2 linked regions of the Rattus norvegicus genome follow. The protein of the gene in region 2 purifies or fractionates together with the protein of the main gene of each other region. This does not show direct contact. Links are inferred from orthologs where the notes say so. Each region holds a gene or a part of one and is shown on either strand. Other genes may lie near its edges. The genes, in order: Atf1 and Atf2.

What was found.
Region 1: the proteins of Atf2 (region 2) and Atf1 purify together in Homo sapiens (affinity purification with mass spectrometry; 3 studies listed by BioGRID and IntAct, with this or other methods). This does not show direct contact. The link is inferred for Rattus norvegicus from reciprocal best matches to the Homo sapiens genes ATF2 and ATF1.

Annotation. Positions count from the first base shown.
Region 1 is NC_086025.1:133,239,064-133,242,982, reverse strand, and holds the start of Atf1 (cyclic AMP-dependent transcription factor ATF-1), read right to left. Parts: upstream 2,210-3,919; 5' UTR 1,950-2,209; intron 1-1,949.
Region 2 is NC_086021.1:79,133,085-79,136,903, reverse strand, and holds part of Atf2 (cyclic AMP-dependent transcription factor ATF-2), read left to right. Parts: intron 1-3,292; coding exon 3,293-3,398; intron 3,399-3,819. UniProt on the Homo sapiens protein: Transcriptional activator which regulates the transcription of various genes, including those involved in anti-apoptosis, cell growth, and DNA damage response.

The sequences.
Region 1 (3,919 bases), on a different chromosome or scaffold from region 2:
GCTCAAATGTGCCTGGCTGCTTCTCACACGAAGCTCTCATTCATGCTACAGTCGTCCTCCTTGTGAGGCTCACTTCTCATCTATTCTTCCAGGTAAACCTACCTGATGGCCTCTAGACTGGCCGTATACCCTCGTACATTTTCCCTTTTTAAGGCACCTAACTACAGTAATGTCTTGTTTTTCTGTCTCCCCACCAGAATGTAAGGTCCAGGAAGCCAATCAGCACATCCCTTCCCTACAGGGTACCAATTAACAAACAGTTAAAACTGAGACTAAAACCACCACGTGCTTCCTTACGTGTCCAACTAAAACTGATAACTTCAGCTGAGGCGGTAGGTAACCTCAGAGATCCGCCCCAGCTGTACTCACGGGGAGCCATCTAAGGCACAGGAGTCACAGCTGGAGTTCAGTGAGACCATGCCAGCTTCTGTGTTTGACTTGACTACCATCTACTGGTGATGCATACCACCCAAGTCCTATCAAAGCAAATGATGAGGGAGAACTAACTATTTAGAAGCTGCCACATTTAACTTTAGGGCACCCAGAGCTTCCTGTCTTGTTTCCAAGTACTGAGTATGAGGTGTGCTAGGCAAACACTCTCCTGCTTAGCTACACTCTACTGGAGATAAGACTGTAATTGTATACTGTAAAGGGGGGGAGGAGATGACTGCCATTTCAAAATATGTATTGGCATAAATCTTTAGCATAAATGCATTTTGTGAACATAAATGCTAGACAAACTGGGGTTGGGGATTTAGCTCAGTGGTAGAGCACTTGCCTAGCAAGCGCAAGGCCCTGGGTTCGGTCCCCAGCTCCGAAAAAAAAAAAAATACTAGACAAACTGTTATCACAGATGAGGCCATTTTTACTTCTATACTGAAATGGCCTCAGACCTCAAAAGGCCCTTGAAGACTTGTGGCCCAAAGCATTTCACGGCGGGACTGCTGGAAGTTCTAAGCAAAACTGAGCTACACCGAGTAAGTGGCCCAAACGAGTAAAAACCTCAAAAGCTAAGGTTGGGCTGGAGAGAATGGCTCAGCGATTAGGAACCCTCACTGCTCTTCCACAGAACATAGGGGCCAGTTCCTGGCACTCCCAACAACCGCTAACTCCAGTTCCAGAAGATCAGACACCCTCTGGCGTCTTCAGGCACCTACAGGCACGTGGTGCACATAAACTTAAGCAGACACACATACCCGTCAATAAAAACAATGAGGTCTCACGGTTGAACTGGCAGGCTTGTAACTCGCTCTGTAGATCTCAGAGACAGCTCGACCCGCTTCTGCCTCCCGAAGAGCTGGTATTAAAGGTATGTGCTACCATACCCAGCGGTAAATAAATCGCTAGAAAAACTAACATAAGCCGTGTTCGAGGCCACCCTGCACTACATAAAAAAAAAAAATTAAAGGCCAGTTGGGTAGGCAAAACTGAAAAGGCTACCATAAACTGGGCACGGCGACCACGTCTAGAAGTCGTAGGAATAAATCCCTTCTCAAAAGGAAAAGGCGGCTACCGAGACTTTTGAGTTAAGTTTCTACCACAACCTAGGCGGCCAGCTGCGAGACTCCCGGAAGGAGAGAGGACCATCGTGCCCCACCACCCGGGCGTGTTGCCTCGGTTCCCCAGTCATGGAGGCGGGAGCCCGAGGCCGCGGCGCCTGCAGCCTGCTGGAGGCCGCCGCCCGGCTCTTCCCGCCTCCATGCCGCGCGGGCCGAAGGAGCGCAGCGGGACGCGTGGCTCCGCTTACAGGACGCCCCGGGCGAGCGGAGCCCAACGCCCGGGCGCACGAAGGCGCGCGGCCGGAAGCGCGCGGCCGGTCCCACCCCCCGGCGCCCCTCCCCCACCGCCGCGCCGCGCGCGACCCCCGGCCGGCGCGTGGCCGCCATTGCGTCCCCACCAGCGTCACGTTCCCGCCCGGGCCGCCCCGCGCCCCGCCGCGTCCCGCTCACCCGCGAAGCCTCCTGGCCGCTGCCCGGGGCGGGAAGCTCCACTCCCCCGTCCCAGGCGGCGCCGACCTCACTCCTCACTTGCCAGCCGCGCACCGCGGCGGGGTGGCGCCGGTCCCTGCGGTCGGCGGGGCGCGGAAAAAGAACGTCGTAACTTAAGAGCCAACCGTCCCGGCTACCGTTTCCCGGCCGCGAGGGGCGTCGCTGGCGGCATGATCCGCACAGGCCGGGGGCTGGGGAGGGGGGCCGAGGAGTGCGCGGGAGCGTGGGGAGGGCGGGGCCTGCGCGGGCCGGCGTGCTGCGTCACCGCGTGCTCACGTGGGCGCCGCCATCTTGGCGAGCCCCGGAGCGCGCGGGCGGGCGCGGGGTGCTGCAGGAGTTGCGAGAGTCTCGTGAGAGGACTCCTGGGGCTCGCTACCTGCTCTGTTTATCTATAAAACCTTATGCTGCCATCTTAATGCTTTGGAAAAGACTTAGCTTGCCCTTCTGGGGAAGTTGACCTTCATCCTGAAGGCTTTATCTGGTCCTTTGCAGTGTTCTGCTAGGGCATCGCAGCGTTTTTGTTTCTGTTTCAAGCATACTCTCTACAAAGTGCATACCAAAAGTTTTCCGAAGTTGTATTTGACATCTCCCCTCCTAATAACTGGGCGAGTGAAAACTTTGGGTTTGACCCTTTAGAACACATGATGTGATTTTAAACTGAAGCGTTAGAAGGACTTACTAGAATCCATGCACTGTGATTCAGCAAATCTTGCCCAATAAAGCTAAAACTGATGACTACCCATAAATTAGAAGTACTCGGTTTTTGATCGATTAGGTTAATTACCCAACCTCTCGAGTCAGTATCAAATTTATGGAAATTGCCAGGCACGGTCATCCGTTCCTCTAACCCTTGCACTCTGTGTTGGCAGACACAGGACTGTCTCTTCATAGGAAGTTCTAGGCAAAGCAACACAAAGAAAGCCTCTCAAAAAACTGGAAATTACAGCAACCACATGGTGGCTTGCAATCATCTATAAATAAAATAAATCTTTTAAAAAGATGTTCCCAATTGGGTTAAATTTATATATAATAAATTAATAAATCTCTAAAAAAAACCTGGAAATTACAATACTAAGTCAATGTCTCAACATTATAGAAAGTGGCCTATAACAGCCTTTCCTGAACAACAAAGTCCAGCAGCAGTCATTCCGTAACCCATAGTACTTTTAAAAAATTTATTTTGAGTTTATATTCCTCCCTCCAAACCCTTCTATACATTCATCCTTCCTTTCAAGAGTTAGCTTTTTAGGGGTTGGGGATTTAGCTCAGCGGTAGAGTGCTTGCCTAGCAAGCGCAAGGCCCTGGGTTAGGTCCCCAGCTCCCAAAAAAAAAAAAAAAAAAAAAAAAAAAAGTTTGCTTTTAAATATATTATTTGAAAGATAGAGGGGGGATGGTACATGCACAGGTTTCCCTGGAGTTGGAATTAGAAATGGTGGTTGTCAGGTCCCCAAGAAGCCCAGGACAAATGGCCAACTGTGGTCTCTATTAGCATGCCAAAGCACACACTGACAGCCAGGCTCACAATCTGCTCTTCTCATGCGCACACCAACCCCCTACCCTAAATCCCAGGCCGAGGAGCTTCAATTCCCTTCCCCCAGCTTCTGATTCTTATGAAAACCTGCCAGTTTGACCAGCTCTCTTTGGCTCTCTGCCTCTTCTCTTCCCTACTCTCTTCCTCTCTCGCTGCTTGCTCTGCCCCCTGTCACGGCTCAGGTCAGTCTGTTATTTTGTCTCCCTGCTCTGAACTCTTCCCATTCTTCTGGCCTCACACATGCACTCAAAGCCTTCTCAACCGAACCTCAGAACTGTTGTGTCCTCATTTCTTTCAGTCGTAAGCTGGGTGTGTGCTGGAACCCTAATGTGGGACTTCTGCAAGAGAATCTTTTTTTTTTTTTTTTTTTTTTTGGTTCTTTTTTTCGGAGCTGGGGACC
Region 2 (3,819 bases):
TTTTAAGTAAAAATGAAACATTATACATACACTGATGTACATGTAGACCATGAAAACTATTCTTTGCCAAACCTAATTAAAATATCAATCACTATTATTTACATTATCAGATACTCATGCTAAATGAATTAAATATATCTTTTTATTGTTCTTAAAACTTTTTAAAAGTTTTTTGAAATTATAATTTACATACGTATCTCTCCCCCTTTACTCCCTCCAAACTCAGAATATACTCCTTCCACTCTCCTTCAAATTCATGACCTTGTTTTTTGTTTCAACAAATTATTACTTCATACACACACACACACACACACACACACACACACACACACACATACTAAATATAACCTGTTGAGTCTATATAATGCTGTGTGCATGCTTTGAGACTGACTTTTTTGACACTAGACAACCAACTGGTATATTCTTCCCTGGGGGGCACCACCTGTCCCATTCCCAGTTTACCTCAGGTACCTGTAGTTCTCAGTGTGCGGTTGCAGCACTGTGGTCTCTCCAGTGTCCAGTTTGGCATGTTCATTGGTGTCATTCTTGTTCAGTCACATTTGGATAAAATCATGTTGTTGAGACTTTATGAATGAGAGAAGGGATTAGTAGGGTACAGGTGATCTGTCTGATCAGGGAAATAGAAAAGGGAGGGGCTCCTCAAGGAGAGGCAGAGAGGTTAATACAGAAGAAGGGGTGGAGACAAGTGGTCTGATAGGGGAAGTGGAAAGGTCAGTACAAAAAAGAGAGAAGTGGGGTTGGGGATTTAGCTCAGTGGTAGAGCGCTTGCCTGGCAAGCACAAGGCCCTGGGTTCGGTCCTCAGCTCCGAAAAAAAAACAAACAAACAAACAAACAAAAACAAAAAAAAGAGAGAAATGGGTAAAATAACATGGATGTCTGAAAAAGCCACAAGGAATCATACTATTATGATTCAAAATACAACTTAAAAACTATAATATTCCATGTATGAATATACATAAAACTTTTTTCATCTGAATGGAAAAAGCCACCAGGAGTCATACTACTATTTTCAAAGTATAATTTGAAAATTTGTAATAATCCATGTATGAATATACATACACTTTTAATGACCCTTTCTCATCTGGGCAGATGAAGATTTCTTCCAAGAACCAAAGACCACCTAACAAAGCCTCCAATACCAGACATGTGATACTCTTTTTAGTTGTTGTCCAAGAGACTCACAAAACATAGTCTATTACTGTTGCCCTTGATAACCCCCAGAGGTAGAAGGTAAGTTTATATTGCTAAGTTACCATGCACTCTGGAAGTAGGGCTTAGGGGCTAGAGAGATGGATGAGTGGTTAAGAACACTGACTACTCTTACAGAGTAGTTCAGTTCCTGAGTTCAATTCCCAGCAACCATATAGTGGCTCACAACCATCTGTAATGGGATCTGATGCCCTCTTCTGGTGTGTTGGAAGACAGCTACAGAGTACATATAAAGATAGATAGATAGATAGATAGATAGATAGATAGATAGATAGATAGATAGATAGATAGATAGATAGGAACAAAAAGAAGAAGAAGAAGTAGGTCCCAGAGATCCCTCAGCTTGGACTGACCAAATGTCCCTTCCAGGAAGACTTGCTTTCCTATCAGAAGTTGCCATGCATCTTTCCAAAGGAGGGAGGTAACCAACAATCTTACCCAGCTGTGATACCTATGAAGCATAGCATGACACAATAACCCTGATGATGCAGTAGTGGCATGCATACTTTGGTAGTAACCAACAGCTCTCTCATTGGACTTAAGACTTAATACCCACTCAGACCAAGAGGTGCTGGAAACCTAGCTTGGAGCTAGTGAAGTCATGGTTGTTGGAAAGGAATCTACAACCACCTTTTTTTTTTTTAATGTGGTTTGTTGTTGTGCCTGAATTGAATATACTATGTGAGAGTGTTAGATCACTCTGGACTTGGGGTTATAGACAGTTGTGAGCTGCTATGGGGTTGCTGAGAATAGAGCCCTTGTCCTCTGAAAGAACAGCCAGTGCTCTTAACTACCAAGCCATCTCTCCAGCCCTTATCATCTATTCAGAAGTACAGTAGTCTAAGGATACTTTAACCTTTTACTGTTTAGGGATATGCTATCATAGTTCTGTGCTTTACTACAGTGTAGTTAGTATTGTTGGGCTGTAGAAAACTATTTGCACACACTTGATTTCTAGATTGCTTGACGTTTGCTCATGTTTTTGTTTTTAGGAGAGCCTAAAGACTAATCTGCTAGAAATATTTCACATTCGGCATTCTGGTTTAAGAGATAGAGGTTAGGTTTGGTGATGCACACTGAAATAATCCCAGCACTTGGGCCTAGGGCAGGAGGATTGCTACAGTTTAGAGGCAACCCTGGGACACACTGATACCCTGTCTCAGAAAGTGAGATGTTAGTGGCGTATGTGCTTGCAATTTTATGTATACCAGTTTATTAAATATTCTCATTTATTAATATGGGGTTGATGGATGAAACCTAGATTAGTTATAGTTAATGTAAATCTAAATGAGAAAAAAATATAGTAAATTTTTTAATGTTAGTAATTTATTAAGTCCATATTATTTATTAACTCATGAGTGTTGGTGATCACTAATTTCTAATTAATTTCTAATTAGGTTTATTCAATTTGAAATTTTGGTGTGGAACTTTGTAAATTAATGCATCCTAAACAAAGGCTAAAATAGTCATTCTGTTGTAAGGAATAAAACAGGGCACCACTGGTATAACATTTAAATTTAGATGCATATATCACAGGCAACAAATGCATTTAACAATGCATGCTCTTTCATTGGTTCTGGTGCCTGGCATAGTGCTCAACAGTAGTACGTATAAAGATCCATAATTCCTGAATAAGTGTAATTTCTTTTTTCTAAAGTATAAACTTGCATAATTACATTTCCAGGATGAATTTTTTCATTTTTAAAAGGTGAATGGAATCAATGAAAATTCATTCTGATTGCTGATGTTTATAAGTTTTCAAATAATCAAAAGAACATATAATACATGTAGAGTGAAGCCCTTCAGTGAGTAATATAGTGCATATGCTTCCCATGGCAAACAGCCAGGCTACCCACTTATGGCGTTCGTGTGATTTTAGTTTTTTAAAAACTTATGTAAATGCTAAAACATAAACCATTGTATACTGATTAAATTTATTTAAACAGCATATGTCCCTTATTGTTCTGCCAAAGAGATCCAGTTCTCATACCTTACACCTTGCTTTCTTTAAATATGTTTCTGTCTAATGCTGGTAAGGCATATGAGTTGTTTCTTCTCCAGAGCGAAGTCACCCTGCTGAGAAATGAAGTGGCACAGCTGAAACAGCTTCTTCTGGCTCATAAAGATTGCCCTGTAACCGCCATGCAGAAGAAGTCTGGCTATCATAGTGAGTAATGTTCCATTACCTACAGCTGTAGGCTACATCAGTGACAGACGGCCAGAGTGAGGAGCAGAGCGACCAGAAAAACAGTGCAAGCTGCAGTTCTAGTACTTAAGATTAAGTATCAGAATTTCTGCAGGGTTATTATAGTCTGGGATAGGAAGAAAAGTTTTCCTACTTCTACCTTTTTCCCCTAGGTTAGCTAAACATTTTTAAGTACACTGTTTGCTGTCAGTGATTATTTACCATCACAGGATAACACTTTGTCTTGGATTAACAGAGCCAAACAGTTTTTCTTTTCCCGCCCCCATTTAGTACTAATGAGAATTTTTTAAATCAACTATCTTCATCCAACCATATACTATCTATTTCTAGTTTCATATCTTACTCCTTTTTAGATAATGTCAGCATTGGACAGTATTTGTGT